Linked DNA regions of Diceros bicornis minor. The protein of the gene in region 1 interacts with the protein of each later gene in a pairwise test. Links are inferred from orthologs where the notes say so. Each region holds a gene or a part of one and is shown on either strand. Other genes may lie near its edges. The genes, in order: NUTM1, ZNF277, SH2D4A and RIC8A.

What was found.
Region 2: the proteins of NUTM1 (region 1) and ZNF277 interact in a two-hybrid assay, tested with the Homo sapiens proteins (2 studies listed by BioGRID). The two-hybrid records come from large-scale screens. The link is inferred for Diceros bicornis minor from reciprocal best matches to the Homo sapiens genes NUTM1 and ZNF277.
Region 3: the proteins of NUTM1 (region 1) and SH2D4A interact in binary tests that used the Homo sapiens proteins (3 or more experiments, as listed by UniProt). The two-hybrid records come from large-scale screens. The link is inferred for Diceros bicornis minor from reciprocal best matches to the Homo sapiens genes NUTM1 and SH2D4A.
Region 4: the proteins of NUTM1 (region 1) and RIC8A interact in binary tests that used the Homo sapiens proteins (3 or more experiments, as listed by UniProt). The link is inferred for Diceros bicornis minor from reciprocal best matches to the Homo sapiens genes NUTM1 and RIC8A.

Annotation. Positions count from the first base shown.
Region 1 is NC_080744.1:31,626,048-31,633,511, forward strand, and holds the start of NUTM1 (NUT family member 1), read right to left. Parts: upstream 3,015-7,464; coding exon 3,011-3,014; intron 1,754-3,010; coding exon 1,658-1,753; intron 1-1,657. Other genes in the region: NOP10 (H/ACA ribonucleoprotein complex subunit 3), read left to right, coding at 3,547-3,600, 3,890-4,030. UniProt on the Homo sapiens protein: Plays a role in the regulation of proliferation. Regulates TERT expression by modulating SP1 binding to TERT promoter binding sites.
Region 2 is NC_080742.1:63,837,209-63,844,889, reverse strand, and holds the start of ZNF277 (zinc finger protein 277), read right to left. Parts: upstream 3,006-7,681; 5' UTR 2,993-3,005; coding exon 2,902-2,992; intron 1-2,901. Other genes in the region: DOCK4 (dedicator of cytokinesis protein 4), read left to right, coding at 3,595-3,631. UniProt on the Homo sapiens protein: Probable transcription factor. Involved in modulation of cellular senescence; represses transcription of the tumor suppressor gene INK4A/ARF, perhaps acting via the Polycomb group (PcG) complex PRC1.
Region 3 is NC_080768.1:40,644,889-40,651,823, forward strand, and holds the start of SH2D4A (SH2 domain-containing protein 4A), read right to left. Parts: upstream 3,011-6,935; 5' UTR 2,526-3,010; intron 1-2,525. UniProt on the Homo sapiens protein: Inhibits estrogen-induced cell proliferation by competing with PLCG for binding to ESR1, blocking the effect of estrogen on PLCG and repressing estrogen-induced proliferation. May play a role in T-cell development and function.
Region 4 is NC_080770.1:18,595-25,474, forward strand, and holds the start of RIC8A (synembryn-A), read left to right. Parts: upstream 1-3,864; 5' UTR 3,865-3,995; coding exon 3,996-4,079; intron 4,080-4,358; coding exon 4,359-4,406; intron 4,407-4,491; coding exon 4,492-5,082; intron 5,083-5,573; coding exon 5,574-5,665; intron 5,666-6,240; coding exon 6,241-6,391; intron 6,392-6,880. Other genes in the region: BET1L (BET1-like protein), read right to left, coding at 531-698, 844-900, 1,182-1,313.

The DNA.
Region 1 (7,464 bases):
AAAAGGAGACCAGAAGTCAGATCATCAGAGTTCCACTTTAGTCCCTGAAGAATCAGAGTTCCGATTCTCAACAGGTGAGGGAGGAGATATGGAGAGAGAACTTGTATAGTTTGCAATGTCCCCCAAGTGATCTTGATGTCCCTTACTCCCAGTTAAGAATTATTGCACTAGAGAAGCTGCAATAATTCTTGGACCTATGAGCTCATGCCCCATAACTCATTGCACCCAGCATACAGGTACACCTTTATTCCCATCCATTCCCAACACATTCAAACCACCTGAACCCTACTCCCAGCTGCTCTGTGGTCCCTGCCACCACTCACAGAAGTGTTGTTCCCAGAAGAGGATGTGTGGATTAGATGTTTGGTTCCCAGCACTTCTGTTATATAACAGCCAGGAATGACTGGAGATAAGGGTCAGGAAATGAGCAAGGGCAGGGTGGTGTGGGGAGGGAGGTTTCCAGAGCTTCAAGTAGCTGCTGGACATGTTAAAATTTGGCAATGCAGACTATCTGTGATCCTTCTGCTTGAAGTTCCTAACATCAGAAATTTAGGGCCCACTATGAACAAGGCACTGATAAGGAAGTCCAAAACACAGTACTTGCTGAGGAGGAGCTAAGCGGACTCCAGTCAAAGAGACGAAAGATAAATACACAAAACGTGTACTTAATTAATCAGGACATGTGTCTCCTAGGACTTTTAACAATAACAATAGAAGATCATCTGTCTAATTTCATGCTACTCTCCTCCCCTCTTATAAAGAATATCCCACTGGCAAACTAACAACACTCAGTTTCCGTTTCCAGACCATGAAGGAGACACGGAATATGAGCAAACTCGTCATCTCAACCACAGAGCAGAGGGCCAGGAGTACTCCACCAAGTACGGAACACAAAGAAATGGGTTTGAATGCCTGAGCTCCACAAAAGGTAGAAAAGCTGAGAGCATCTCAGGGAAGCCCCAGCTCTTGTACTGGCTGGAGTGACCCACCTCCCCTGGCCCTGGCGGAGGAATCAAGGAAAACTGCTCCCTGAACTGAGAGAGAAGCCATCTCTGGGGCTGGAAGGAGCCATGAGGCTCTGAGCAGAGGCGCTTATAGTACCTTCCAGTCTAGCTTTCGGGAGGACATTTCTCTACAGACTTGGCAACAGATAACCCCACTGAACAGTTTTCCAGCTAAGGCCTCCACCCCCCACCCCCTCAGTAAGATCCAGAATGGCCCCAGCTCAATTCTCTCAGGGCAAAATTCTAGAGCACCCTCCGGTTGCCTAAAGAAGACACAGGAACTCGAGGCTTCCCCTTGAACCTTCTCTGGGCCCCACACATACTCCTGCCCCTGCCACACAAGCATATGTTAAAAGGGTCCCTCTTCCAGAGAAGCAAGTTGTTAACTGCCATTCCTTCTCTATCATCAGCACTTTCCTCTGAGGTGCTTTGATCTGTCTCCCAGGAGGCCTTCTTCCTTCCCCAACCCCCAGTCTTAATGGCACAACCTCCTTCCCCAGCCTCCCCCAGTGAGAGGCCTTTGGTGAGGTCTCTAGTGATCTCGCATCCCTCTAGATCAGCCCAAAGAGCCTGTCCCCAAGTAAAGCATCAAATTTTAATCCTGAAGGATGTGAGCAGGTGGCAGGGACCCTCCCGCCCACCTGCAGACTTACTTCCATCTGAAGCCATCCTCTCAGGTTTGGGCGCTAACCGTGGCTGTCTGGAAGCCTCCAGAATGAGACAGTCAGGTTCAGGACCCAGAGAGTAATCTGGCTCCAGTAGAGGCACAGGGATCCAAGGAAGGGAGGGTAAAGATCAGATTAAAACAGAACTAGAATCTAGGACTCAAGGCATTCTGCAGTGGGGGAGGGGACAGCAGAATATGGGGTGGGGGGAGGGAGATACTCCACAAAGGGTTCTAGTAAGCAGTAACAAGGAATTCCCTCCAAACCAGAGTATGGCAACACAATTGTTGTGTACCTCTTTAGGGATATTTGTATATTCGTTCTCAGATTCCCAACATTATAGTTTTACATCTCAGTACCCTATACAACTCTTCACCAATATATCTAGTTCTGTGCCCTTCAATCCCATCCAGTTCTGTACCTGATTTCCCATTAATAGCAGGTTGTGGCAGACCCTTGACTTAATTCAATGTTGGCTATATTTTCTGAACCAAATTCAGAGCACATAGTCTGGTGTACTTAAGGATCAAGGGAATAGAATGTCTGAAATTAGGGTTGTCTCATAAGACCCAGGGTGTTCAATTGCTGTATGCATATCATTTCCTTGGAAAGCTGTCCTGCAGTGCCCCAACAGTCCACTTCCATCAGCTCTGCAGTCCACAGAAGGCTCAGCCTTACCCCTGGCTGAAAAGCCCCACTCTATCAAAAACTGCCATTCAGCCTAAAATTTCAAGACCAAAAAGTCCTTCCTTTTGTTTGTTAAATTATTTTGTTTTAAAATTTTGTTAAATAATTTTAATTTTTTAAATGGGTAATACATCAGCATGGTTCAAAAGTCAAACTATGCAAAATGGAATATACAGCAAGTCTCCCTCCCACTCCTTTCCTCTGGGACGGAGTTCTTTATCCCAGAGGAAACCAATATTATGTTTCTTGTGAATCCTTGCAGAGATATTTTATGCAACTACAAGTGAATACAAACTATATTCTTTAAAAAAAATAAAGTCTTTCAGTTTTTCTGGTTATAAAATTAATACATGCTCCAATGTTTTTGCTATTATACATAATACTGCAACGATCATCTTTGTAATGATATCTGGGCTCCAATTTTCGTTTTTCAAACTAGAGTCCTATAAGGAGAATTTCTACGTTCTTTTAAAAATTGGAAATACCCTTCGGAGGTACATCTTATTATGCTATTATTAGCTACTCACCACCATAAGAGCGCTGAATTTGTGGTAAAGAGACCTGAGTTTGAATCTTGGTTCGACCTCTAAAACATACTTCACCAGTTTCATAAAATAACTTCACGCTCTCCTCGCTGTACAGAATATTGAATACCCATCATGCACTCTTTACCGCCAATACTTTGAAATAGGGCGCGGGGATCGGATGTAAAAGAGAGGAGGGAAGAAAACCTTCTTCTTTCTTCCCTAAGGTAAAGGGGCTCTGGATCCTGGAGCTATTGTTTCTCCAGACACTAGAAACACACTGCCCCTGAAATGGGTGTGCATCTTGAAATAAAGACAGGATTCTATTCATCAATGTTCAACTCATATCCATCCTTACCCCCCTCTAACGCCTAGCAGCCTAGCAGTGTCGGGCACACAGGGGGCACACTCCACGCGTCTCTGAACGCCTGCAAGGTTGCAACTGGGCGCCAACGCCAGCAAAGTTGCAACTGGGTTGCAACTGGGCCAACTCTTGCACTAGGGCTCCCCCTTTTGGCCAGCTGGAGAAAGGCCTAAGTGGACTACATTTCCCGGCATGCCTAGAAAGAGACTTCCGGCTATGCAGGAAGGAAATTGACAAACACGTGAGGCGGTCTGTTGGACGGAGCTGCGCACGGAGTTGGAAGTTCTGGCTGTAGTCTGATCATGTTCCTCCAGTATTATCTCAACGAGCAGGGAGACCGGGTCTATACGCTTAAGGTGAGTAGAGGAAACAGGTTGTGAATGGGTATGGCGAGAAATGTAGGTGGGAGCAGCGGTTGAGACCAGGCACCGAGTTGCCTCCCTGGGTGAGGCGAACTAGAAAACCCAGAAGCCAGGCGTGGTAGAAGCGGGAGTGTATGACCCCTTCGTCTGTCCGTCACGTCTTCTGTCCTGTTTACCTTTTTTTGCGCGGCCCCCTCCCCATCCCAGCCTCCATCTCCCTTTAGACGCCGGTGCTTGAGTTTTCCCATCACTCCTGTACTGATGTTCTCTGTTTCTTGAGCAGAAGCTTGACCCTGTGGGACAACAGACCTGCTCGGCCCATCCTGCTCGGTTCTCCCCAGACGACAAATACTCTCGACACCGAATCACCATCAAGAAACGCTTCAAGGTGCTCATGACCCAGCAACCGCGCCCTGTCCTCTGAGAGTCCCTTAAATTTCGTGTGTCTTCTGCCGCCTGCTACCCCTCAAGAGACTTTCCGAAACCACGCTCTTCAATCTGTGAGCCTTGAGGCCTTCTGACCACCCTTGCTCTGTGGAATCCGGTCTCATCATTGCTTTTGATCATGCTTGTGTGAGGCAATCATGGTAGCATCTCCCTTAAAGGGAACAAGTTTGAATCTTCTTTTCATGTTTTCAGTCACTGCCAAGTTATTAAAATGATTTGAAGGAGCTCTTGTTTTGTATGTTGTGGGAAGAAAGAAGTGGTTTAAAAACAAAGACAAAAACGAAGGAGCTGAGAGGGAAGAGTACTCCCAAAGGTACAGCAAGTTCACTTGGAAGAAAAACTTGAGTCGCTGCTGCAGCAGGAGTCCTGCTGTGCTGTTAGTGATAGGAGGGTGTTGAGGAAGGGGAAGAAAGGTTGAGAAAGACGCGTCCACAACTGTCAGCATTCTCTGAAAAATACCCCTGTTGTCACTTAAATAATTTCTTGCCCCTTGAAATGACATTGACTCAAAATGGAAGAGTTGCTTGAAAAATAATAGCTATTTTGTAGAGGGAAGGCAGTGAATTGGAAGTCAGGAGACCAGGATTCTCCCCTCTTTGTATAACTTTGAGAAAGTCACTTAACCTGTTCAGTCTCATTTTTCTCATCATTTCTAAGTTCTCTTCCAACTCTAAAATTGATAGGGTTCAGTGGTGGATCTTAATATATCTACAGTGTTTGTGCAGCCGTTGTGAATAGCAATGCCTTTATGCATATTCACTTCCCCTCTGGAAATAATCCCAGGTTTTTTGTTCTCTCCATCAAGGAATTGTCTTTTTACATACACCTAACTTTATATTCTCTCTGGCAGCTAGCTGCTATTTGGAACTCTTCATGGATCTTAATTTAGAAGATGAAATATGAGAGATTTTGTTGTTTGTCAAGGTAGTGTGGGGGTTAATTAAAAATTTCTTATTTCTTAGTCTATTCACTTACATGGTTCTTAGTATTGGATCTGAGGGATTTTAAAGAGTTACTTTATCCTATTAAGGGGATAATCTTTGAAGAAAGGTTAAAAATTCTGCAAATGACTAGAAAAAGGATCTGCTAAGGAAGATTTCTTAAGCACCAAAGTCAGTAAATGAATTCTGCTACCAATTTTTTTAATGGTGACTGTAATTCTGTCTTTATAAGTTACCACCCCGCCAAAAAAAAAAAGAAAAAGGATTAGCATTGTTCCATGCTACCTGCTGTGTAGACTGAAATGAAAAGATTTGACCTGGAAATATTCCTAATCAAAGTAGAGGAGAAAAGGCAAACTGGTTTCAATATACCGAGGACTTTTTCTTTAAGAGACCCCCTAGGTATTAACATCTCTGAGATGTGCTCAGAAACAGTTAAGAGGTATAATATATTGGTATTAGGTAGTATATATAAATGAATGAAAATACACTGTTATGAAACAAAATTGGATATTGTAAAAAATTCAGCGTTTCTTTATAAAGGGAAAGTCTGTGAGATTTGAATGAATAGCAGGCCTGCCTGAGGAAAAAACTGATCCCTCAGGGAGGTGAATTTCTTGCTTTCTCAGGTAGGAAACCTGTCAAGAATCAAGCTTTGAGGAGGTTTACATTTTAAATGGGAATTTATTTCTCATTTTGTTACCTGGATCTTTTTAACCAGATTTTGGACTTTGTGTGTCATTTGATAAAAGGGAATATCCTGGCTCAGGTCTTAAATACTGTTTGATCTATTGCTAAGGATGATGCTGAAACATTTCCACTTGGGATGGGCAAGGACCTAGGCAAAGCTAGGACCCAGATTGTTAAATTTAAATGTCTTGACCAGGGCCGGCCCCGTGGTGTACTGGTTAAGTGTGCGCGCTCAGCTGCTGGTGGCCCAGGTTCAGATCCTGGGTGCTCACCAACGCACCGCTTGTCAAGCCATGCTGTGGGGGTGTCCCATATCAAGTGGAGGAAGATGGGCACAGATGTTAGCCCAGGGCCAGTCTTCCTCAGCAAAAAGAGGAGGATTGACATGGATGTTAGCTCAGGGCTGCTCTTCCTCATACACACACGAAAAATAATAAAATAAAATAAATGCCTTGACCAAAGCTATGGGAAATAACCTCCTAACAAAACATTGATGACTCAAAATGTATTGAACACCTTTACTCATGCATTAAATACACATGCTGAGAAAAATATTCTGATGGCAATAGTCAACAGAAAGTATCTCAATATCTTTTCCAGGTCTAATATGAAAAACATTTTCTTTAATGGAACTTAAAGTCTGACTAGAAAGTGAACATAACATTTTTTTCCAGCTATGTTGACAAAATTGTATATATTTAAGGTGTACAACTTGATTTGATAGATGTATATACTGTGAAAGACAGCATTTTTTTAAAGGACAAGAAAAAGAAATGTAGCACAAAGTGTGTATAAATTTGAGGACACAATGCTTTAGAATACACCTCAACATAAAAATTCCAGTGAGAGTCATACCTAGATATATGGCATTGGGAAGTTTGTGATTTTTAAAGAAATTTTGAATGGTATTTTCAGAGACTCTTATTAAAGAGAGAGATGGTTTTTGGGATTCTGAGGGCAAAGTGTGTCGCCTGCTTTCTGAGATGCCGCCAGAGTGAGTTTGCAACACAGCAGAACCAAGAAGGAAAAGGATGAGTTTTCTCCAGCGCACGCAGCTCAGGAACCGGCCCCCCCCCCCCCCCCCAATTCCGTTCGTGCTCCGGGCCTGCCGCGTTCAGCCCCGCCCCTCGCCCACCAGTCCCGCCGCGACCCGGGCGAGCGCATGCGCGCAGCCCTCTCCGTCGCCTCGCGGGCTGCAGAGGCTGGGCGGGGCTTCCTAGCGTTTGCGGGACGGTGCCGCCCTCAGACCGCTCCCCTACGCTTCTCTTGGGACCGTTACCCTCGAATGAGGGACGAGCGGGGAGGGAAGGGTGGGGCTGCGGCTGCGCGGGCACAGCCCTTCGGGCCCGGGGAGGGGGCGACGAGGTCACATAACGGCTGCTGTGGCGTCTGGCAGGGGAGGGGGCGCCCTCCCCGGCAGCCCGAGCCCGCCTGCGCGCGCTGCGGCTCGGAAGCAGTTACCGGCTCGTAAACAACAGCTGCGCGCGCACCCGCATCAGCTGGCGCCGGGATCCCGCACCTGCGACCTCCTCCTCTCCTCTCCGCCGCCGCCTCTTGCTCAGCCAGAGCCAGCCTGCGACGCCGTCTCCTCTTCTGCTGGGACCCAGAGGAAGAAGGGCGAGGGGCTGACCTGCGGCGGGGCTCTGGTAGGGGAGAAAGCATCTCCCGGCAGAGGGTGGCCGGTCTTGTCACACGCAGGAGAAACCCAGAGAGCCGGACTAGCAGCGACCTGCCACAACCCTGAGCTGCAGTCCGAGCTCTCTCGACCCGCTAGCCGCCT
Region 2 (7,681 bases), on another chromosome or scaffold:
ACCAAGATCATCATCTACTAGGCATGCATTTGCAAGGAAAAAAGTTGACTCTGTCAGAATATTATAGCATGGAGGCACAGGTTAACTCTGTCAGAAGAAATCACCTCAGTCACAAAAATTTCCTACCAGTATTGCCAAATAATAAACTATAGATGTGCTATCTTACTGCCTTCTAATGAAAAACAGCAAAAGAAAAAATACCAATAACACATCCTCAAGTGTAAGAAATGTTGAGTCTATTTACTACTTGTTCTTAATTTTAGGGGACAACATGAAATCCTAGTTAGTGCTCAAATGTACAGAAAGCAGTGTTGTGCAAGATCAGGAACTTTCCTGGAGAGGGATGGCACCTCAGGAAATCTGTAAACACGGGTCCCAGAGAAGGTGCTGTACCTGCCTGCATACCACCCAGTGACTCGCTCTAGCAGAGATCTTACGAAACTGCAAGCATTTCCATAACAAGACTCCCTAGCCCCTTCTGTCCCAGGATATTAAACACACAGATTGCCACTTTAATTAGAGCTAGAGGGAAACCTCTTAAAACAGGCAGTTTTCAAGAAATTAAGGATTTTACAGGGAAAGACATACTTGATAACCTAAGTGACTGCTTAACAAAAAATATGAGTATACTTTTAATACTGTCTTCACGCAAAATTTGTATCACTTTGCAGGCTTTGAAAAAAATCGGATAAAGTTTCAGAATGGTACACAGGTTATTAAGGGGACTTTTAATGATAACTTTACCTTATAAGAATGACATAAACATCAACCAGTAACCTCTTCCAAAAATGCTACAAATTAGTGAGAATACTGGGCAGGTCTGAGCCAGGGTGAGGAATGTTTTTATGTTACAGATACTGCAAATTCACTGCTGCTCAGTACTTTTGATGAAAACAAATTAGAACCTACAATTAAGCTTTCTATCAGTTACTCAATTCAATTCAATAATCATTTAAACATTGGACCTGGATTAATAATTTCCTCACAGTTGGTGAAGATATGGGGAAAAGGACACTCATATGATACCAGTGGGAATGTATACTGATACCTTTCAAGGAGAAAATCTGACATCTGTTAAAGTTTTAAACATATGTAACCTTTGGCCCAGCAATTCCTCAAGAAATACACACCCAGTGGTCAAGGATTTGTATACAAAGCTGTTCACTACAACATAACTGAAAAACTAAAGCCACACTATATGGTCATTAATAGGGGAATGGCTAAAGTATGGCACGTTCATATTATGGAATACAGTGGGTGCAGTCCTTAAAAGCAAGGAAGCAACAAATGTATTGACATGGAAGAGTGTCTACAACACATCACTGGGAGAAAAAAGGTCGCAGATCTTTGAGCATACATAGAATAAACCCTTTTTGTTTTCTTTTTAAGAAATCAAAACCATACAGATGTGTGTCATACAGGAATGTCAGAAAGAGCACCCACCAAACCCTTACCACTTGTTACTTGCGGAGTAGGACTGTGTGGTGAAGGAATTTTCATTTTTTTTACCTTACACACCTCTGACCAGTTTGAAATGTTTATAATGAAAACTTTTATAATTTTAAAATAACTAAAGATTTTTAAATGTTTTACAATGTTTTTGAAAGGCATACCCAATTTTCTTTTTTATGAGTTAATGTGTGAGATAAATTCACCAAAGATTCCATCTCTAGATTTTTAAACTCAGCCCTCTGGAACTCTGAGAATCTGGAAAACCTTAATACTGTAGTCTGTTACCATCACCTAAGAGCTGACTATACGGCCAACCCAATAATGAACTGTCTAGAGTGTGGGTATAACTCAAGATTTAACTCAGGAGCCTACCAAAGATTTCTTTGGTAGAGGTATTGAAATAATTTCAGGGCTAGGGCATTCCATTGACGGGAAGTGGGAAGAAATTACACTTCATCTCTGTGCTGCTGAGATGAAAATTTAAGACTAAATGTCCATTTAACCAAGAAAGCGGAAACAAAGAAACCAAAAAACCAAACAAAAACCCTCAAGAAGGACTAAGAACCAAATTTAAGCCCATCAGAAAAAGACAACTTGCCGTGCTAAATGACATATCAAAGCAAAAAAAAAAAAGAAGGCGGGGGATAGACTAAAGGTAAGAGAATGGGGCTAGGAATCCTAAAGACAACCTTCCTGCAGCTTTCAAAGTTTGGTTTTTGATCTCTACAGTGGATCAGAGGACAACTCGAAAGTCAAGTAGAGCCAAAGTAACTGTGATGATTTTCATAACCCCCTTCAAATTTTTCTCTGAAGCCACAAGTGCAAAACACTTCCTTTCCTCTTGCCATAAGGCCCCGGCCTGAGAAGACTTCCCAGGCTCCACGTTCAATCCTGGAGAACGCCCGGGGCAGTCAACAAGCGACAGAGGAGGCTGTGAGAGGCACGCGCACACTTGCCCTTCAGAGGCCGCTCTCGCCAGCAACTGAACAAATCTGTAGAGTGCAGAGCAGTGACCAGTCTGCAACTGGAAATCCGCCCGAACCCAAATAAAACATATCTCCCGAGGCCAAACCAAGCAAACCGAGGCGAGGAAGGGCATTTCGAGGAAAAAGAGCTGCTAATCCCAGAGTTATAATCACACGTGCACGAACCTGACTTGACCCACACCCACTCGAGAGCAAGCGCGAAGCTGAGAGCTCCAAACGGAACACAAAGGCCCAAGGAACTTCCCTGGCTGCGGGGAAGGTCATTCCAACCCATATTCTCTTCTTTTCCCTGACAGCCCCCCCCAAGTAGCCGCCTCCGACCTCACCCCGTCCCAGTGGTCCCCGCCTGCGGCCCCCTTTCGCCCAGCTGGAAGGCTCTCGGGGTCCGCCCAGCGGTCAGCTGCAGTTCTCGTCCTAGAGAAAGGAAGACAAACCACCTGCACCTCAGGGGCACCGTACTCACCCTCATAACTGACATCCCCGGCTCCGCTACGGCTGCCATCACTGTCCTCCTCCCCTCGGGTAGCAGCCCCCTGGGTCTCGGCAGCAGCCATTACGCGGGCGAAAAGACAAGGGAGGGACGCGGGGCGGGGCGGGTGCGGTCCGGAACCAATGGAAACGCGACTGGAGGAGAACTCCCCATCAACGCAGCGGTTCCTCCACGCCCACGTCGCGCCGTCACGCTTTGGGCCAATAGGACGTGGCGAGAGGAACCTAATCCCCGCCCCCAACAGCTACTGCCACGCCCCCTTCCTGGATGGAGAGGCCCAGAACTACAATTCCCAGCGTGCCGCGGGGGCGCTGGGCAGGGAGGGCTGGAGGAGGCGCTGGCGGGCGGGGGAGCGCCCGAGAGTGCCCCGGCGCGTTCGCTTAGTTCAGTGAATCAGAACAATGACTGCGCCGCCGGGTCCCCGGGAGCGCGTCGGAGGACTGTGAGCAGCTGCCGCCTGGAAAGCGGCGGGCGGCGCAGCCTTGGCCGCGCAGTGTCAACGCCGGGCTCGGGAGCCTCCAGTGCAGACCCTGCCCAGAGTGCGCAGCCCGCGCGGAGCCGCCGGGCTCCAGCGCTGCAGCCGCTCCTCGGGAGTGTGCATTGTTGTGAGCCGGAGAAGGGGCGCGGGGATTACAAAGCCCGGAGACCCGGGAGCCCGCTTTAGCCATGTGGATACCTACGGAGCACGAGAAATACGGCGTGGGTAAGTCTTCGCGGGGCGAACTTTTATTCCGCTCTGGCCGGAGCGGGTGCGCATTTCGCGTCCTTGCCCCCGCGTCCCTCTCCCTCCGCCGGGCTGTAAATGCCTAATCCTGGCATCGCGCTGCGGGTTCGGGCTTTCCCGAGCCAGCTCCGAGCAGAGGGGCGCGCGCCGGGGTGTCGCCCCTCACGGCCGGATGGGCGCTCCCCGCACCGGCTCCAGGAGTGCCGGGACGTCTGGGGGAAGCGCGCCGCCAGCCCGCCCGCTCGGGGCTCTGCCTGCGGAGTTTGGAGCGGCGACGGGGCGTGTGTGTGTCAAGTTGGGAGAGGAGGGCGAACGGCGTTCTTCTGCTCCTTCGTCCTTCTTCTCCAAAGCGGCGGGGTGACGGCAATGGACTGCAACGATTTCCGAGGGTGGAGAGGGAGACAACAACAACCGCGCAGGGGGAACACCCCCAAAACAGAAGGGAGGCGCAAAACCTTTTCTCTGGCTCCCATCAACATTCCCGGAGTGCGGAATGTGGCACAGCCCTCAAAAGAGCCGCTCTGACAGACGGAGCCCGGCCCGAGCCTCCCTTCTCCCTCCGATCCCGGGTTTATGGGGTGTGTGTGTTGAGGGACCGGGGATGGGGGGGCGGTTGGTAAATTTCAACATCTGCGCCGCTTTGCTCTTTGGAGGGGAACGGGTATTTCAGCAATGTTTTTACTTCTGGCCACCTTCTCTGCCCAGGGTGAGCGTGGTGGGGGTGGCGGTGGCGGACGGCTGTGGAGTGGTAATGGGGAGGGGGATTGGAAAGCCTGGGTCTTCGAGGCAAGGAGACAGTTTTTAGGAAAGGACTACCCTGATACTGGCGTTCGGAGGAAAAGGCACAGGGTAGCGCTCGCTGTTCTGTGCAAAGGTGAACAACAAAGGACATTAATGTTGACTGATGAATACAGGAGTCTCCCTTCCTTTTCCTCCTCCCATTTCAGGCCGATTACAGTTCCCGTTTTTGTTGTTTGATTTCAGCTGGGTCGCCCCTTGACAGTTACTCCTTTTAGGGTTGTGTATTAAGAAGCCAGGCTCTCTGACAAGCCTGCAGCGGCCAAATGTAATTATAACCTCTCAGAAGGTTTAACAGAGAGAAAGCATTATGGATTTTACTAAGTCTTTATTTTCTGTAATGTCCTGTCCTCCCGATTTGCTGCTTTTTAAAAAAAATTGGGTACAGATCTAGTGATTTAGACGATATGTAGGTATCTGCTTATGTTCTAAATTCATTTCCCTGTAATTTAAAAAATGTAGAAAGCCTTTCCAGGGAGTCATAGTCAAGAGGATTTTTTTATTTTCCAACTTGTCCTAGGGATAGGACTTTGGAGTTCACTGAAAGGACTGTATGATTGATTAAACAAAGTCCTTTCCATATTTTACATTAGCTTCCATTCTAGATTGTGACTGGTTAGCAAGACAATAGTTTGTTCTGGACCCACCTTTGAGAAGGGTTTCCAGCCTTCCTTCTCTTCAAAGTGTAAGGGGAACCTTTGCTAGGCACTCTACTGGCAAGGAGTAGATGGTAGTGGTTGTTCTTTTCCTCTCCTCACTCTCCCCTTTTTGGGGGTAGATTAATCCTTGTTAGGTAAAGACATTGCCTTTGCCGAACCAGTGAGGAAGCAGAGGGTCCCCTTGTCACCGGATTTAACAATGCAGGAAGCCCAGACCCATCCAGGAACAGTGTCCCGCTTGGAGTCAATCCCAGATGTTGTTTTCTTCCAAGTGTTAAATTATACAGATTATGGAATGGGGTTTATTTTTTTGATTTCTTTATGTGCCAGGTCACAGTTGGGGTGCTAGTATCGATTAGTTCTTCTCTCGCCTTTCTTTACAAGCTGTGGGCAGAGGGTTAAAACCCACTCTGGGATTTCCTGGAATGGCAAACCGGATATTATCAGTCAAGTGTTTTGGGCTGCAGCAGACACCTCGCTTTTGGGTGGTTGTGATTTGGTTGCAGAGTAGAGGGAGGTGGAAGGGTGAGCACATGTTTGGAAAAAGGAGGTTGAGTGAGATGAAAGGGGGGAGCACAGAGGGGTGTGTTGTACTCATTTATACAATATCACGTACACAGGAATGTTAATCATCTTTTATTACTTTTTGAGCATTTGGCTTATGGAATGCTTAGCTGTTTTTTAGAATCCATCTGTTAGGTGTGTGTGTGTTGTGAAAATTATATGGACTTTATTTCTCACCATGGAGAGCACTATTTGTAGCTACCTATGCTGCAAGTTGTTATTTTTTTTTAACCTTGGTTAGTGTGTGTGCTTTTCTCATCGAGTTTTTGTAAATACTACAGAAAAGATACTTTATGGGCCCAAATGTTTGGCTGATATCAGATATAGTAGTAATTTGGTTTCCTCATTCTTTGAAATAAATCGGTCTTTGTAACTTTGGAATACCTGAAGTTTCAGTACAAATTGTATATTTCTACAATGATACTTCCTATCTACTATCAATTATGTATGAGATAATTATGTCTTTACATCTTTTTGTTTCAGTTTCAAGCCACATACTATAAACATGGGTAAAATTACTTAGATTTCATACCTATAGTAAGGTATATTAGAGATAGAAATTCCTTTTCAAACTTGATGTGTAGGCACTGTCTTCTTCATTTAATTGGTGAATGGTCTTAAACCGTTACATACTTAGTCGTATACCTAAGTGTTCTGATTCTAGGGAATTAGAAAGGTATACTGATAAAACTATAGTCCAGAGGGGTAGGGAACTTTGTCTCTTTAAAACATGTTAGTAGGCACAATAATAGGCATATTTTATCTTGGGAGATTCTGCCTAGCTCTTGATCCTAGTCTAGACACTGCTGCCAGCTGTGTGACCTTAGGTAAATCACTTAACCTTTCTGGGTCTCAGCCTCTGGATCAAATGATATCCAGGGTTCTGATTCTGTAGAGCTCTTCCAAACAAATGCATCCGTTGGTTAGAAAAACATCTTCACTTGTAGAGTTTATTATGAGAGGGACACTTTTGCTGTGACACATCCCACATAGCTCTTAAGCAAGATCAGAGGTAAGCAAAAGCTACCTGGCAAGCTGCCAGAACCGAGATGCTGGTTGCTTACTTTTTCGATCTGTTTGATTCTCTCTCCAGTAGGAACTCCATGGGCAGTGACTGCAGCATTGTTGATCGCCCCCTCACAGATGTCCTCACGATCTCTGTCTGCCTCCTGCTTGCCCTCATCTGTCATACTCCCTCCCCTCCCTTCAAGTGTCACAGAGAAAGTTAAGCCCATTGCGGATATGTTTCTGTGTTCCTTTGTTCGGTAGGCATTTATGCACAGTGTTCCCAGGTGAGCCGGTGAGTCTTCCTGAGTTGCAAGCTGCACCTCTCAACCTCGGCCAGATGTTTTACATGTGTGAGCCTGTTTAAGCTTAGAGAGAGAATATGGGCTGGATTGATCAGTGCAAAAAATCCATGAGCCTTACAAGAAACAAACCTCAGAACAAGCTGATCTGAAGGTCACGAGTGTCATTTAAAAATGAAGTCTTAGGGTATCACTGAGTCCTCACAAATATTCCTTTCCTCCATTTCTCTAGAAGTGGTTTTGGAACTCATCCAAGGAGGAATCCCATTCCTTTTTATTTATTTATTTTTTAAAGATTTTATTTATTTATTTATTTCCCCCCAAAGCCCCAGTAGATAGTTGTATGTCATAGCTGCACATCCTTCTAGTTGCTGTATGTGGGATGCGGCCTCAGCATGGCCGGAGAAGTGGTGCGTTGGTGCACGCTGGGGATCCCAACCCGGGCCACCAGCAGCGGAGTGCACACACTTGACCGCTAAGCCACAGGGCCGGCCCTATTTATTTATTTTTTTATTTTTTAAATTTTTTGTGAGGAAGATGGGCCCTGAGCTAACATCTGCCAATCCTCTTTTTGCTGAGGAAGACTGGCCCTGGGCTAACATCCACGCCCATCTTCCTCCACTTTATATGGAATGCTGCCACAGCATGGCTTGACAGGCGATGCTTCGGTGCGCGCCCAGGATCCGAACTGGCGAACCCCG
Region 3 (6,935 bases), on another chromosome or scaffold:
GCCAAAGCTCATTCCTCCCCTCACCCCACCCAGAGTACTCTCGATACAAGAGTGACGTGACTGTGCTGCCACTACCCTAGCACTTGACGTGCAGTCACTCATTTAACCTTCACAATAATCCTTCAAGTTCAGTCCCCATCACCCCATTTTACAGATGAAGATGACGGCAAGTGGCAGAGCTGGGCAGTCTGGCTCTAAGTTGGCTCTAGTGTACTCCACCAGGACAGTGGAGTTTCTTTGTGAGCCCAGAATCAGAACACCATCAGGATGAGGTACCATATGTGAAATTTCGGAATGAAAACCAGCAAATTCTTGCAGCGACAGACATGCTGAACCGACGGAGAGCCTCCCAGGGGTAGAAGCCTCATCCCGGGGATTGCAGATAAGCTTAGGGGAGGCCAAAATTGAAAAGGCCCCACCTCAGGAAGGACAGCAGGGAACTTACTGTCCTGCTGGCCCAGGTGTGGACGCTGTCTGCCCACTGGATTCACTGGGCACTCATCTCCCCAGCTGCCCCTCACACACGACCCCCCGGGACAGCACCAACGGCCCAGCCTCTCACAATGGGAAGAGCTCCACAGCCCCTGTGAGGAGATGCTCAAGCTCCTCCACGGGTTTAATTCTGTTTTGTTTTGCCCTTTGTGGCAAACACGGATTTTCAGCGTCAAAGTTAACTAGAGGATCTTAAAAGACACTGGCTTTCCTGTGTCCTCAGAGATTACTTGGGGACCCAGCTAACAACCATCTTGTGGTCAGGATGCTGAATAATACGCATGCCACTCTAAGGCTGCTGATTCCCACTGGTGTGAATGAACTCTTTCCTCCGTATGCTTTCAGACAGAAACTCAAACACAGCCCAGGGCACTCCCAGGACAGCCAGCAGGGACCCCAGCCTGGGCTCCTAGTTCTGTCTCTCATGAGCTGTGTAACTTCACGCTGTCACTTCTCTGGACTCAGTTTCCTCATCTGTGAAGGAGGGCCTGAACTGTGAATCTTTGTAATTTGAGGACTATACCATAAAATCCAACCAGAAGTTACAAAGACAAGTGGAGCCAGCATCAAGGAAATGGACATAAGGAAATTAACTAAGCAGGATTCTTCCCACTTTCACTCCAGGCAGGACAATCATTGCTGATTCAAACTCAATGACTTGGCCCTGTGTAACATATTGAGTGCAGCAAACTTCCAGTTTTTCAAGATCCAGTAAAAAAAGAGAAGCTTGGCTAACTTGGTTTTCTTCTTGTACAGCACTTTTCTTAAAAGAGAGAAATGACAAGCAACAAGCCTACATCTGCTGGTTATTCCAAAAATAAATCTCTAAAGGATCATAGGATCAGTTGTTTTCCAAGATACCTATAGATTTGGCCTGACTCTCACAATTTCCACTGCCCTGTTCTATGAAAGAATAATTGTGTTTTTAATGACTCTGAGACCTAAAAAAAAAAGCCTGAAATACAGCCTAAATCATTAAAATACTGTAATACGGACAGTATAACTTTAATGTTAAGAATATAGTTTGAATTCTAATTCTTTTAAAACAGCCCAGCTCCGTTTTCAGACTTTGTTACCTTATTCGACTTTACCTTATTAATCTCTCTGCAAAGGGGCTATTTTTGAGGATAAAAAGGAATTACTAGAGGTGACACCACACTTGGTAAGTTTTGTAAATGTACACCATTCCTCAAAAATTGGAAATTACTGTACCCACAGATTTATCCAGAAAATTCTAGTCATGCCAACTCTGCCCACATATGCTTTCCACTTATTCACTTTAAAAAAATAATTGTATCCAAGTCGTTATTGCCAGTAAACAGGCAATCAAATAAGTCTTTTAGGAGGTGAGGAGACTCTAAGTTTAGAAAGAGAGAGGCGCCACGCTGGCTTCTTCCCTCGGACCCTCGGGGAGGGAAGGACGACCCCGAGAAAACCTGCGAGGGGGACTCGTCCCTGCGCCTCCGCGCCCACCGCCTTCGGCGCCCCTGGGCTGAGGGCCGAGCCCGGCGCGCCCTGACTCCAGCGGCGCCCGCCCGCCGCAGGCCCTGCCCCGGCGCCCCCGGACCGGCGCCCCCGGACCGGCGCGGGGACTCGCCTGCACGGTCGCGGCGAGGAGCTCCCCGGCGCTCCGCGGGACGGCGGGCCGCGCTCCTCCCGGCGCCGGAACTCCGGCCCAGACCCTCCCGCGGCCGCCCCGCGCCCCCGGCGCCCCGCGTGGCGCGCGGCACACCCCCTCCGGGACGCGGCGCGCCTCCCAGGGCCCCGCGCCCGCCCCCGCCGCCCCCGCCCCGCGAGCTCAGCCCCGGCCCTCGGCGCCGCCTCTCCCCCGCGCCGGCTCCGGACACCCGACACCCGACGCCGGCCGCCCGCCCGCCCAGCCCCACACCTGAGCCCGCGGCCGGAGGGGCCGTGGGGGGTGCGTGCCGGCCGCGCCCGGGCTTCCCGCCCCGCGCCTCTCCCCCCAGAACACCCCCCACACGCGGGCTGCCCCGCCTCCGCCGTCCGGCCTCCCGTCCCCGCCCGGCACCTACCTGTGCGCGGCGCCGGCCCGCCTAGCAGGGCGCCGAGCCCCGCACGTCCGGCTGGGCCGCCGGGAGCGGCCGGGGAGGGGAAGGCAGAGGCGCCCGCGGGCGGCCCAGGCCGGCTGCACAAACACTCGGCCGGGCTGTGGGCAAACGCGTCCCCAGCCCCCGCCCGCCCGCGCCGCCCCACCGCGCCCACGTGCCGGGGACTGACTGGGTCGCGGCCCCGCCCGCGCCGGAGGCGCTCCCGGGCCCGTCGCCCGCCAGGCCGCAGACGCGGTGCTCCGGACGGCAAGGCCACCGGCCCCAGTTGCATCTGTGACGGCCTGTCGCGCCATCTCGGGTCCTGCGTCACTTATCAACATCGGCGGCCGGCCCCTTCCCGCTCCGAAGCCGGGGTTTCGAGCGAGGTGGAGCCTGCGGCGGCGGGCAGGTCTCAGTTACACCGAGTCCCGCAGGTCAAGTCGGCTCAGCTCTCAGGTTGTGCTCCTGCGTCTCTGGAGCTTACTTTTTTTTTTCTTTTGTTGACATTAAGTCAACTCAAACTCGGGGGCACTTGTCAGTACAGGTGTGGCTTTGTAGGACAGGATCAAGGAGGAGAAAGGCTGGAATGATGGAGACTGAAAACAAGAGACAGGGAGAGAAAAATGAAAGAAGTCTGGAAAAAGGCAAGAAGGTAAAGGAATCTTGTGAATTGTAGCAGGAACAGGTCGAGGGGTGCATGAAGGGAGGAGCTGACTGAAGACAGGAAAAGGAAATCCTGGAGGGAAGTCCAGCAGTAGCGGAGTAGACAGGTTGCAGGGCGTTTTCCATTGAGGGGGAACATTCAGAATGTGTAGAGAAAAACGGCCTGCTTTAGTGAACCACAGACTGGTGTTGGGGAGAGGAGTAATAAACAGTGAGCGTTCATTGTCCTTCTCTACAGCCTCCCTGATAAATTCAGGAGCTGACTTGCTCTGTTGGGAAATGAAACTTTCTCATTCCTAGCCTCTCCAGACTGCAGAAGAAACTCAAAGTTAGAAAGAGCCTTGGAGCAGAGATCAGTCCTTGAGAGACCTAACTATTTGGGAACCACCCTAGAGATCCTATCAGGGGAGGATTTCTGGCTTAGCTTTGGTTCCCACTGCTTTTTAAATAAATGGCATGTGGGGTGCTTTTGGCTGGAGTGTCGTTCGCCCCTGGTTAGCTGCTGTGGCCAGCTCAAAATGAATCCTAAAACTTGATGGATTGAACAGTTGAAGAACTATAAAGGGTCCTTCATCAGCCAGTAAAAATTCCACAGGACACTGGTAACAGCCACTTACCTTCCTCCACACTCAACCTATCTCTATGTCCTAACAAGTCCTTCTTTATAACAGCGATCCCACTTTGCTACTAAGCTCTCTATCCTTCAGTTTCCCCCTCTGGATAACAGCAGTGCCTACCTGATTAAGTTGTTCTGGGGGTTAAGTGAGATAATACATGTAAAGTGCTTAGAACAGCTCCTGGATGTGGTAAGTGTTCAAACACATTACCTCATAATATTTCACAAAACATACTGTAGTTTCAAGTTACCACCTCACACCCAGGCTATGAATTTTGCCTCCTGTGGTACCTGGACTCCCAAGTTAGCCTCAATGATCCCCATCTCCTACTATGTCACTTCTGAGATTAGGTTATAAAGGATCTTGTAGCTTGTCTTAGGTGTGTATCTCCCTCTCTTGGATCATTCCCTCTGAGGGAAGCCAACGGCTCTGTCATGAGCAACCCTATGGAGAGGCCCCGAGGACAGAACTGAGCACTCCTGCCAACAGCCACAGAATGAACTTGGAAGTGGACCCTCCAGCCCCACTCAGGGGTGCAGCGTTGGTCTACAGCATCATTGCAAATTCATGAGGCCACCTGGCTGAGCCACTCTCAAATTCCTGACCCACAACTGGAAGTGAGTAAATTTGTGTTATATTAAGCCACTGTTTGGGGAAATTTGTTACACAGTTGTAGATAACTGATATACCTCCACACTGGTCTTGTTTCTAAGCCAGTTTTAGCTAGCTTTCATATGCAGGAAATTTCATGTATTGGATAGCTTATTTAAACATGGATCCGGGGTCTCACCTCAGAGCAAAGCAGTAGAATATCTTCCTTTTGAACAAGCACTCCAAATGATTGGATCCAAGAGGGGTTATAGATTGTGCTTTCAGCAACTCTGCTCCAGGCTCTCCAGGTCAGACGTTTCTGAATGCAGTTGTCAAATTCATCTTTTTAAACGTTAACTCTGATCCTTCATTTACTTGCTAAAAGATCTTTGATGCTCACCCCTCCTTTTTGTCCAAGGTAAGACTAAACCTCTTGCCAACTTTCAAGGACCAGGACAATCTAACACTAATCTCCCTCAGCTTTATCATCTTCCTAATACAATCCTCTGTTCAGATAATCTGGCATTTTCCAGGCCCTAAACCTACACAGGCTCTGGGGCTCCACACTGGCCTCTGTCTAAAATGTCTTGACCCACAACTTGGCTTATGAAAATCCCACCTAGTCTTCAAGCATCAGTCTTTAGGAACCTTTTCCTGCCTATCCTCCCCCCAGCTGGAAACAGTCCTGGCCTCTTCCATGTTCAGAGCACTTGTATCACAGGTTAGCACTTAACACATCCAAGAACCATCTAATGAACACCCGCTAGGTGCCAGGCTGTGTGGTGACAGAGGGGGGCGGGGGGGGCGGGTGACAAAGAGCAGACAGCCAGGGCCCCTGCTGCCGTCTTCTATGCAGCACTGCCTTGTATAGTAGCTGTGTGTATATTTTCTGCCTCTTTGCGATTGTAAACGTCTTGACAGCAAGACTAGTCATGTGCGGAGCACGTTAGCTGAATGGATGTTAACAGCCCAAATGAACACAGCCTGTACCCAAGTAGTGCAATCATTCCCTCAGCTTGGGGCCCAGTATCTCTTCCCTTTTCTCTCCTTGTCTCCTGTCCGTCGTCTTGTCGTGTGCCTCTTTCCTGGATATGTAAATCTCTCTCTCCTCCTCCTCCTCTTTCTGTGGTTCTTTCTCCATCCTCTTCACTTTGTCTCTCCTCTCCTCTTCCACCTTTCTTTTTTGTTCCCTCTCTCCTGTCTCCCAGTATTTCCTCTTTCAGTTGGCATAATCTGGGGAAGAAAAAGTATATATTTTTCCTTAATTTCAAAAGTAGACAATTAGAACGTTTTATATTGCTCTAAAAAACACCAGTTGCCTCCGTTACTTACTTATGAGGCCCTCAATTACTTTCCCTCCTTTTGGGCCAGTGCTTTCAGAAGAAAGCATTTCTCCACTCCATGATCCAGGATGCATTGTGGAGAAGATTGCTGCTTTCATATGCTAGCAACACTCCAAATGGAAGGTCAGGTCTGGGCAACCAGGCCTTGGCAGGGGACGGGAGCTGGGCATCTACCGCTGGCAAGTCAGAGACATGTACAATAGGTGTCACCAGAACATGTGTTCAGGGCTGCCCTGATGCCCATCCAGGGCCAGTGTTCCAAGAGAAAAGCTAACTAGCTATTTACTATTAATATCTAACAGTAATAATAGTAAATTAGTAAATTAACTAATTTTTTAAATTTGTCGTTTATTTGTAGTAATGGACACCACAAAACAAATAGACTACATTTTAAGGGACATGTTCGCTGATATTCCTTTTAGAATGTTGCTTAAGAACGGTGCTGCCCAGGGCTGTCATGTGCAGCCATGGCACTGCACAACTGGAGGTGCACCAGGCAGAGATCACAGAGTGTAAGGCACCCCCGGGAGCTATGTACACAGCAGCTGATTGCTACCAGAAAGTCTAACAAGCCACTTTTCACTTTTCATAAGTAAAGGTCAATTTGTGTTTAAATTCTCCAGAAAATGAAAGTTACCTTCAGACTTTTTCTTTATAAAAGAAAATAGGATAAACACCAATAATATTTTTCCTGTCATATTTTATAGTCAGCATCAGAAACCCCAACCACTTTTTTAATTCTTAAAGAAGTTCTACGTTTGTTCCATAGTGAATGAAGTAGATGTGAAAGAAAAGGACTAAAACATTTCAGCTTTACTAAAAATTGATCAAATCTCAAAATAAATTTCTGTCAAGTTATTAATCATAGAAAAATGTATTGAAGATCTATTACGTTTTGGTTTTCTGCCAACAGTTAGATTTGATTTTGAACTATTTTCATGCCTTTATGACTCTATGTGGGCTTTCATTTTTTCATCTTCATAAATATCAAGATAAATTATTGGTCTTTACATGAATCTTTGAATTAATTAGACTATAATTTTTGATGTTTTCCCCTGAATTACCTTTATGGAATTGTTTCCTCAAAATCCGTGCTCTGGGTTGCTGATAAGACATTCCTCCTTTCCTGTGTTTCTGTAATGCAGCGGGAAGCAGCCTGTGGCCCAAAGGAACTGTTGACT
Region 4 (6,880 bases), on another chromosome or scaffold:
ACCCCTGGCCAGGAATAACCACCATCTCTAGGCTGAGACTGTCGGTTGGAACAGACAGTGCTGCCTGGAGCTTCACAGAAACACCCCTTCTCTATCAGCTCCAGGCACCTCAGACACCAGACGTGGCCTTACCTAGACAAGGATGGGGCAGAGGTGCCTGGAGACATCAGAGCCCCTAGGGCTGGGGGAAGGACTGACCACAGGTAGCCACGTCCAGGATTCCTAGCTCCTTTGCTCAGACCTGGCTCTGTTGGCACCTCTAGCACCTGGAGTGGCAGAGGGTGCTGGGCCTTGGTTTCCCCAAAGGAAAGGGTCCCATGTCTGCATGGGACCAGCAACATGGGACAGCCAACATGATCTCACTGGGCCAGAAGCAGCCATGGGCTCCCAGCCACACAGGAAGAAGATTCCTAAGCCACGATCATCGTTCCAAAGGAGTATTTTGTAGGAAGGTCCTCTGGAGCCCAGGACACCAGGTAGAGGAAGATGCTGGTTGCCCTGTGCACCCACAGACGCCAGCTCCCACTGGTTCACGTCCTTGCCCTCGACAGAAGGTAGGAGAGGATGAAGAAGACCACGATGAGTCCCAAGGCCATACCGCACAGAAGCTTCCGGTTGTCTCGCCCAGATCGCGCCATTGTGGAAAAGCGCTTCACACTCCCCGTGAGCAGGCCCGTCATGCTTGTAAAATCCGAGTCCTGAGGGAGGAATCCCAACACGATCACACAGGGGTGGACCCTCCAAGACCCACAGGAGAGTGCTGCAGGAGACACTGGGGACCTATATAGCAGGCAGTGTGGGGCAGAGCTGACCGAAACACTCACGCACGCTGCAGACCCTTACCATGCCATCCAGGTACCGGTTCTGGTCCTCTGCATCCCTATCGATGTCCAGGGCAAGCTGATCAGGACACAGAGGGGGCAGGGTCAGGCCAGGGAAGACACTGGATGGTGCTTGACCCTCCATGAGACCAGCAGACCCAACCAACGATTCTGCCAGACACAGTACCACCAGCAGAGATCAGGAGGTCCAGGTATCACCTAGGCCTCACACAAGAGAGTGCTGCCACGGATGGGACAAGGAAGATGAGAACTACATGAAACCCTTCCAAGCCTCTACCCTCCCTCTGATCCCTGCTCCAAGGTGCCAGGTGGAGGTGAAACAGGAGGACCACCACTGACCGATTTGAGCCTGGTGACCTTGGAGGCCAGGCTGTCGGCCATTCGCTTGTTCTCCCGGTCTAGAATCTCCTCCACAGCGCCAGGGCTCTGAGCTGCAAGGAGAAAGAGAGGCTGAGGGGTGCATCCACCCATGAGCACTGCCCTTGACCCCTGGATGTCAGCCCTTCGTGGCCTCAGGACTCTCTCACTACAATCCCATATACCTGAGTCGGAATCTGGCGGGACTAGGCCCACCTGTGTCTGATGAACAAGTCCAGCCCTAACCCAGGATCCGGTGTAAGGACTTCACACACACGTGAGACAGGCTGTGTCAACAACAGCGTGTGCGGGCACCCATCACGTGACCACATGTCCTGTGTACACATCCAGGCCAGGGTGGACAGGCATCCCCAACATGTACAGCCTCAAAGGATCAGCCCAACCGGCACTTTCTGATACTCTGTGACAGAACCTGCACCATCCCTCCACAGACATTACTATCAGCGTACAAGAGACCTGTTCCCAGAGAAAAACAGTAAACTCTGGTATGGACCAAGGAAAGACTGGTGGGGGGGCAGCAGGAAGACCCCTGCAGGGACGACCTGTGAACTCGGTCCTCAAGAGATGACAGGTAACCAGGGAGGAGACAACTCAGCACAGCTCCCCAACACCCAAAAACGGGGGCGCTGAGGTCGATCCCGAGGGCAGGGCCTGGGCCTGCTCACCTCTGCACCCCACCCAGGGCCTTATATGACACCGAGCACAGTGCTTGCTAAGACCGGTCCCATGACTAGGGAGCGGCCAGGCGGTTCGGCATTACTGTCACATCAGGTGGGTGAGAACCGCGTCCCCCCAGTTCCGAGTGCAAACTTGCCCCGGGCCAGATGCCTCCACGTGACCCATCTAATGGGGGTGCAGCTCTAGGAACCACAGATGGATACAGACGCCAAAGGAAGGAGTGTTGGCGTTCTACCAACCCCCTCACGTTCATTAACTTCTCAACGGTCACAAGAGCCCGGCGAGACAGGCATCAGCATCCCACATCGCAGACGAGAACACGGGCTCCCAGAGGGCGAAGGGGCTGCCCTCCCACCACGCAGCCTCCCTCCTAGGGGCTGGCCTCCGCGACCGTGAGGCCGGCCGGGGTGCCAGCAGAACCATCTGACAGGGACAGAGGGGTACGAACTCCGGGCAGCCGGGCCCCGCGACGCAGGGACCCCACGACCCGCCCACAGCGCAGCCGCCAGCGCCCGCAGGGCCTCCCCGCCGAGACCACCCAGCGGGCTGGGCCGCGCGGACGCAGCTCTTGCGGGCAGCGGCGTCGATTACGGCCGGCCCCGACGCCATCCGGCTCTGCTCTCCCGCGCTCACCGCGAGCCCAGTCCGCCATCGTGCCGGCTCCGGGCCCCGGCTCCGTCGCCTACCCGGCCCCTGCCGCGGCGGACGTGGCGCAGCCGCGGGAACGAGCTTCCGGCGTCGCCGCTTCCGCCTTGGCCCCGCCTACTTCCGGCGGAGGTCACCGCCCCCTCCGCCGCGCGCCCGCCGACTTCCGGCGGAGGCTCCGGCCGCGGGGCGCAGGGCGCCCGGGTGGGGACGGAAGTGGCCTGATGTTGGTTCCTCCGCCTGACTAGGACCGCCTAGGGTTAGCGTTTTTAACGCCAGCTCCGGTGTCCAGACGCCTCTATCAGCCACGCCTCCGGGACGGCGTCAGGCCCGAAGTGGGAGGAGCTCGCGGGCCCTCTCCCGGGCGACGGGCGGGGCTGGGCGCGCCGAGGGACCGGCCCCGAGGTCCCCCGGCCCGCCGGGCTGCGGCGCGGTGACTGCTGGCGGACCAGGTGGTGCTCGGGGCCCGGGACGCCCCCGACGAGGACGGGGAGCCGGACAGTGGGTGGGGCTGCTGCTTGTGCGCTGGCGCCGACCCAGGGCCCGGCCGAGTGGACGCTCGACCGGCGCCTGTTGCAGGGCAAGTCGCCCGCCACTGCGGGGGCATCCGCTGTATTACTGAGTTCTCCCGACAACCCACTGGAAGGGCGACTTTGGTCTTCTCTGCTCTTCGAGAAAGAGGCCTGAGTCCAGGCCGATCGTGTGTCTGGGTTGCGCAGCGAGGAGCCGCCGCGCACTGTGGAGCTCTGCTCTCCTCCTGACCCTGACCGTAAGCCTTCCTCAGCCCCAACGAGGTCCGTTTCTCTCCCACCTGGCCGTTCCCCCGTGCCTTGAATGCCCGTCCCCAGATCTTCCTGGCTCCCCTCTCGTCCGGCACCTCAGACCTCTCTGCAGCCCAGCAGCCTCTCCTCTTCCAGTCACGGCACCGCCTGCCTAAAATCGTCCTTGTTTGTCCTCGCCTTGGGAACATAAGGTCCGCGAAGGCAGGGTCCGCGGGTCCTGTTCGCCCGCATCACGGCGCCTCGCGTGTAGTAGGCGCCCAAACGCCCGTTTAACAAACCAAGTGGTGCGGGGGCTGGCAGCCCTTCCCACCGTGGCTGTACCCGCGACATCCTGTCCGTCCTGTTCATCAAGAGGGGCGGGGGGTGGGGCTGAGGTCGTCTCCGCCAGGAATTCCTGCCCGAGAATTCCCGAGGGTCACTCTTCGGTTCGGGGGCGTCTCGGGACCTGAGGTCGGACGATCACCGAGTCGGATCTTGAAGCCCGGGCGGCAAAGCCTTCACGCTCTAGGAGGCTGTTCCAAGTCTCGCCACCTTAAAGCGCGCCACCTTAAGGCGCGCGCTGCCCCGTCCCGGCCTCCCCCGCGCGCGGAGCCAGGGCGGGGCTGGCGGACTCAGGCCCGGGGCTGCGGAGCCACGTCCCGCCTTCCGGGCGCCAAGTACTGGAGACGCCATGGAGCCCCGGGCGGTGGCCGATGCCGTGCAAACGGGGGAAGAGAACGTGGTTATGGAGGCTCTGCTCGCGTACAACCAGGAGGTGAGCGGGAGTCGTGGGGCGCGCAAGGAGGCGGTGGGCCGGGTGGGCGCGGCCGGCGGAGGGGTGGGTGACTGCGGCGGGGCCCGAGGGTGGAAGGGAGCGGCAGGAAGGGGCGCCGAGCCTACGAGGAGTCGCTGGTTGGAGTCACGTGCGCACCTGGGGGCAGGTGTGCGGGGCGCCATCTGTTCGGAGCGGCGCCTGCAGCCTCGGGCCTCATCTCGGAGGCCGGGATCTGCCCGTGCGGACCTGCGCTCCATGAGCCCCTGGGTTTCCCTGCAGAACTCCCAGAGCTTCACATTCGATGACGCCCAGCAGGAGGACAGGAAGGTGGGTGCTGACCGAGGGGTAAGGGGCAGAGACGGGGGCCCCGGGTCGGGGAGCCTGGTGGAGCCGCTCTACTCCCCGCCCACAGAGACTGGCGGAGCTGTTGGCCTCGGTCCTGGAGCAGGGCTTGCCACCGTCCCGCCGCGTCACCTGGCTGCAGAGCATCCGCATCCTGTCCAGGGACCGCAGCTGCCTGGACCCATTTACCAGCCGCCAGAGCTTGCAGGCATTTGCCTGCTATGCTGGGATCTCCGCCTCCGGGGGCTCGGTCCCCGAGCCCCTGGACATGGACGTTGTCCTCGAGTCCCTCAAGTGCCTGTGCAACCTCGTGCTCAGCAGCCCGGTGGCACAGGTGCTGGCAGCAGAGGCTCGCCTGGTGGTGAGACTCGCAGAGCGCGTAGGGCTGTACCGCAAGAGCAGCTTTCCTCACGACGTCCAGTTCTTTGATTTGCGCCTTCTTTTCTTGCTAACTGCGCTTCGCACCGACGTGCGCCTGCAGCTGTTTCAGGAGCTGCGGGGAGTGCACCTGCTGACAGATGCGCTGGAGCTGACCCTGGGAATGAGCCCGGAAGAGAGCCCCCCTGCGCTCCTTCCTCCCCAGGAGACTGAGCGGGCCATGGAAATTCTCAAAGTGCTCTTCAACATCACTTTCGACTCCATAAAGAGAGAGGTGGACCAGGTAAGAAGAGAGCTGATCTGAACCCGTGGGTGGGGCTTAACAGCTTGAATGTTTCCTGGATCTGCTTCCCTGTTGGGTGCCTTCAAGTTTCAGGGTGTTAGGCTCAGAGAAGACTGGAGGAGGCGAGGAGACGCCTGGGTAGGGGCCCCAAGGAAGGTTTCTGAGGGAGGTGGAGAGCACATTTGGCTTTTGGAGCCTGGCAGGAGAGCTGTGTGATACATGGGGACAGTGTAGGAGATTCCCAATCACGAGGCTGTGAGCATGGGGTCAGAACACAGAGTGTGACTCAATCCCAAGGACATCTGTTGACGTTCTTAATCAGGAGAGTGCTTTTCAGGTTGTGTAGGAGAGGCGGAGGGGCCGGGTGTGCAGTGGGGGAGATGTGTAATCGGTGCACTTGGTCCTGGAGTGGGGCAGACGGTGGAATCTCAGCTGGCAGCAGGGGGACAAGTGGGGCTCTCTCTCACAGGAACCTCTTACTCTTTGGTCAGGAAGATGCTGCCCTTTACCAGCACCTGGGAACCCTTTTGCGGCACTGTGTGATGATCACTGCTGCTGGAGACCGTACAGAGGAGTTCCACGGGTGAGGGTGGGGCCTGTTGTGTTGGGAGGGAAGTGTGCTCACGTGTCTAGATGGTGGTTGCCAGCCATGGTTGTGGACAAGGCTCCACCCTAGCGAGTCTTTACCCATCTGGGTGGGACTAGACATCAGTGGGTTTCCAGAGAGCTCTGGCACTTAGAGTACATGGCTAGGACGAGAGCCACGAGTCTGGGAACAGGAGTGTGCCCCAGGACCTTAGGCAGGGGCAGTGGATGGTGTAGTATCTACAGGGCAGTGTAGGTTCCTCATTCCTGTTCTCGGTGACCTGTCCCTGGAGGCAGGTTTTGGTTTTCCAGAGGTGGTCTGTGGTGCTTCAACCCAGACAGAGGGTCATAGGTGAGGTGTTTGCATAAGAGTGCCCCCCTCCTCGGGGACCCACTCCACTGAGCAGGAGTGCCCCCTGAGAGCAGTCCTCTCCTCAGCTCGGGCCCCTTGTGCTGCTCCTTAGGCCCCTGGACACTGGTTCACGTCACATGCAGCCCCAGCAGGAGGTACCAAGGGTTGTGCCTGTGCTGGGGGATTGGATTCACCAAGCCCCTCTCCCCGTCTGTCCTCAGCCACACGGTGAACCTCCTGGGGAACTTGCCCCTCAAGTGTCTGGACGTCCTCCTCACCCTGGAGCCACACGAAGGCTCCCTGGAATTCCTGGGAGTGAACATGGATGTGATTCGTGTCCTCCTTAGCTTCCTGGAGAAGCGTCTGCATCAGGTAGGCAGAGGGGACTTGCTGTGTGGGCTCCCCAATGGCTCTGGCTTTGGCCTTCCTGAGCAGCTGTGGTCACTGCTTTTGTGCCGTCCACGTTAGTGAGTGAAGATTAGCTCGCCAGTATGATTCAGGTGATCCTCCAGCTGCTCTGTGGTCCAGCCAGGCAGGAAGCCAGACCCGTCCTCCCTGAGAAGCATGTGGACACTCCTACACACACACTTGAAGGTTTCGCTTCTGGTTACTACAAGGAAACAAGTTTTCAGAGTCTGCTTTTTAGATTTCTTTATGGATCTCTCTGGCATGGTGTTGAGAAGCCCCCAGTCCCTGCCTGTGATCTTAGACTCTTAGTGTTTCTGTGCACGGGCAGCCCTTGGTGACGAGCATTGGTTGTCCCTAGACGTCCCTGAGGGGACCCACAGGGACCTCGAGCCAGAGGCTTCCTGATTCCTGCGACTGCACCATAGGATATTGGCCGTCCAGGGCTCTGAAGAG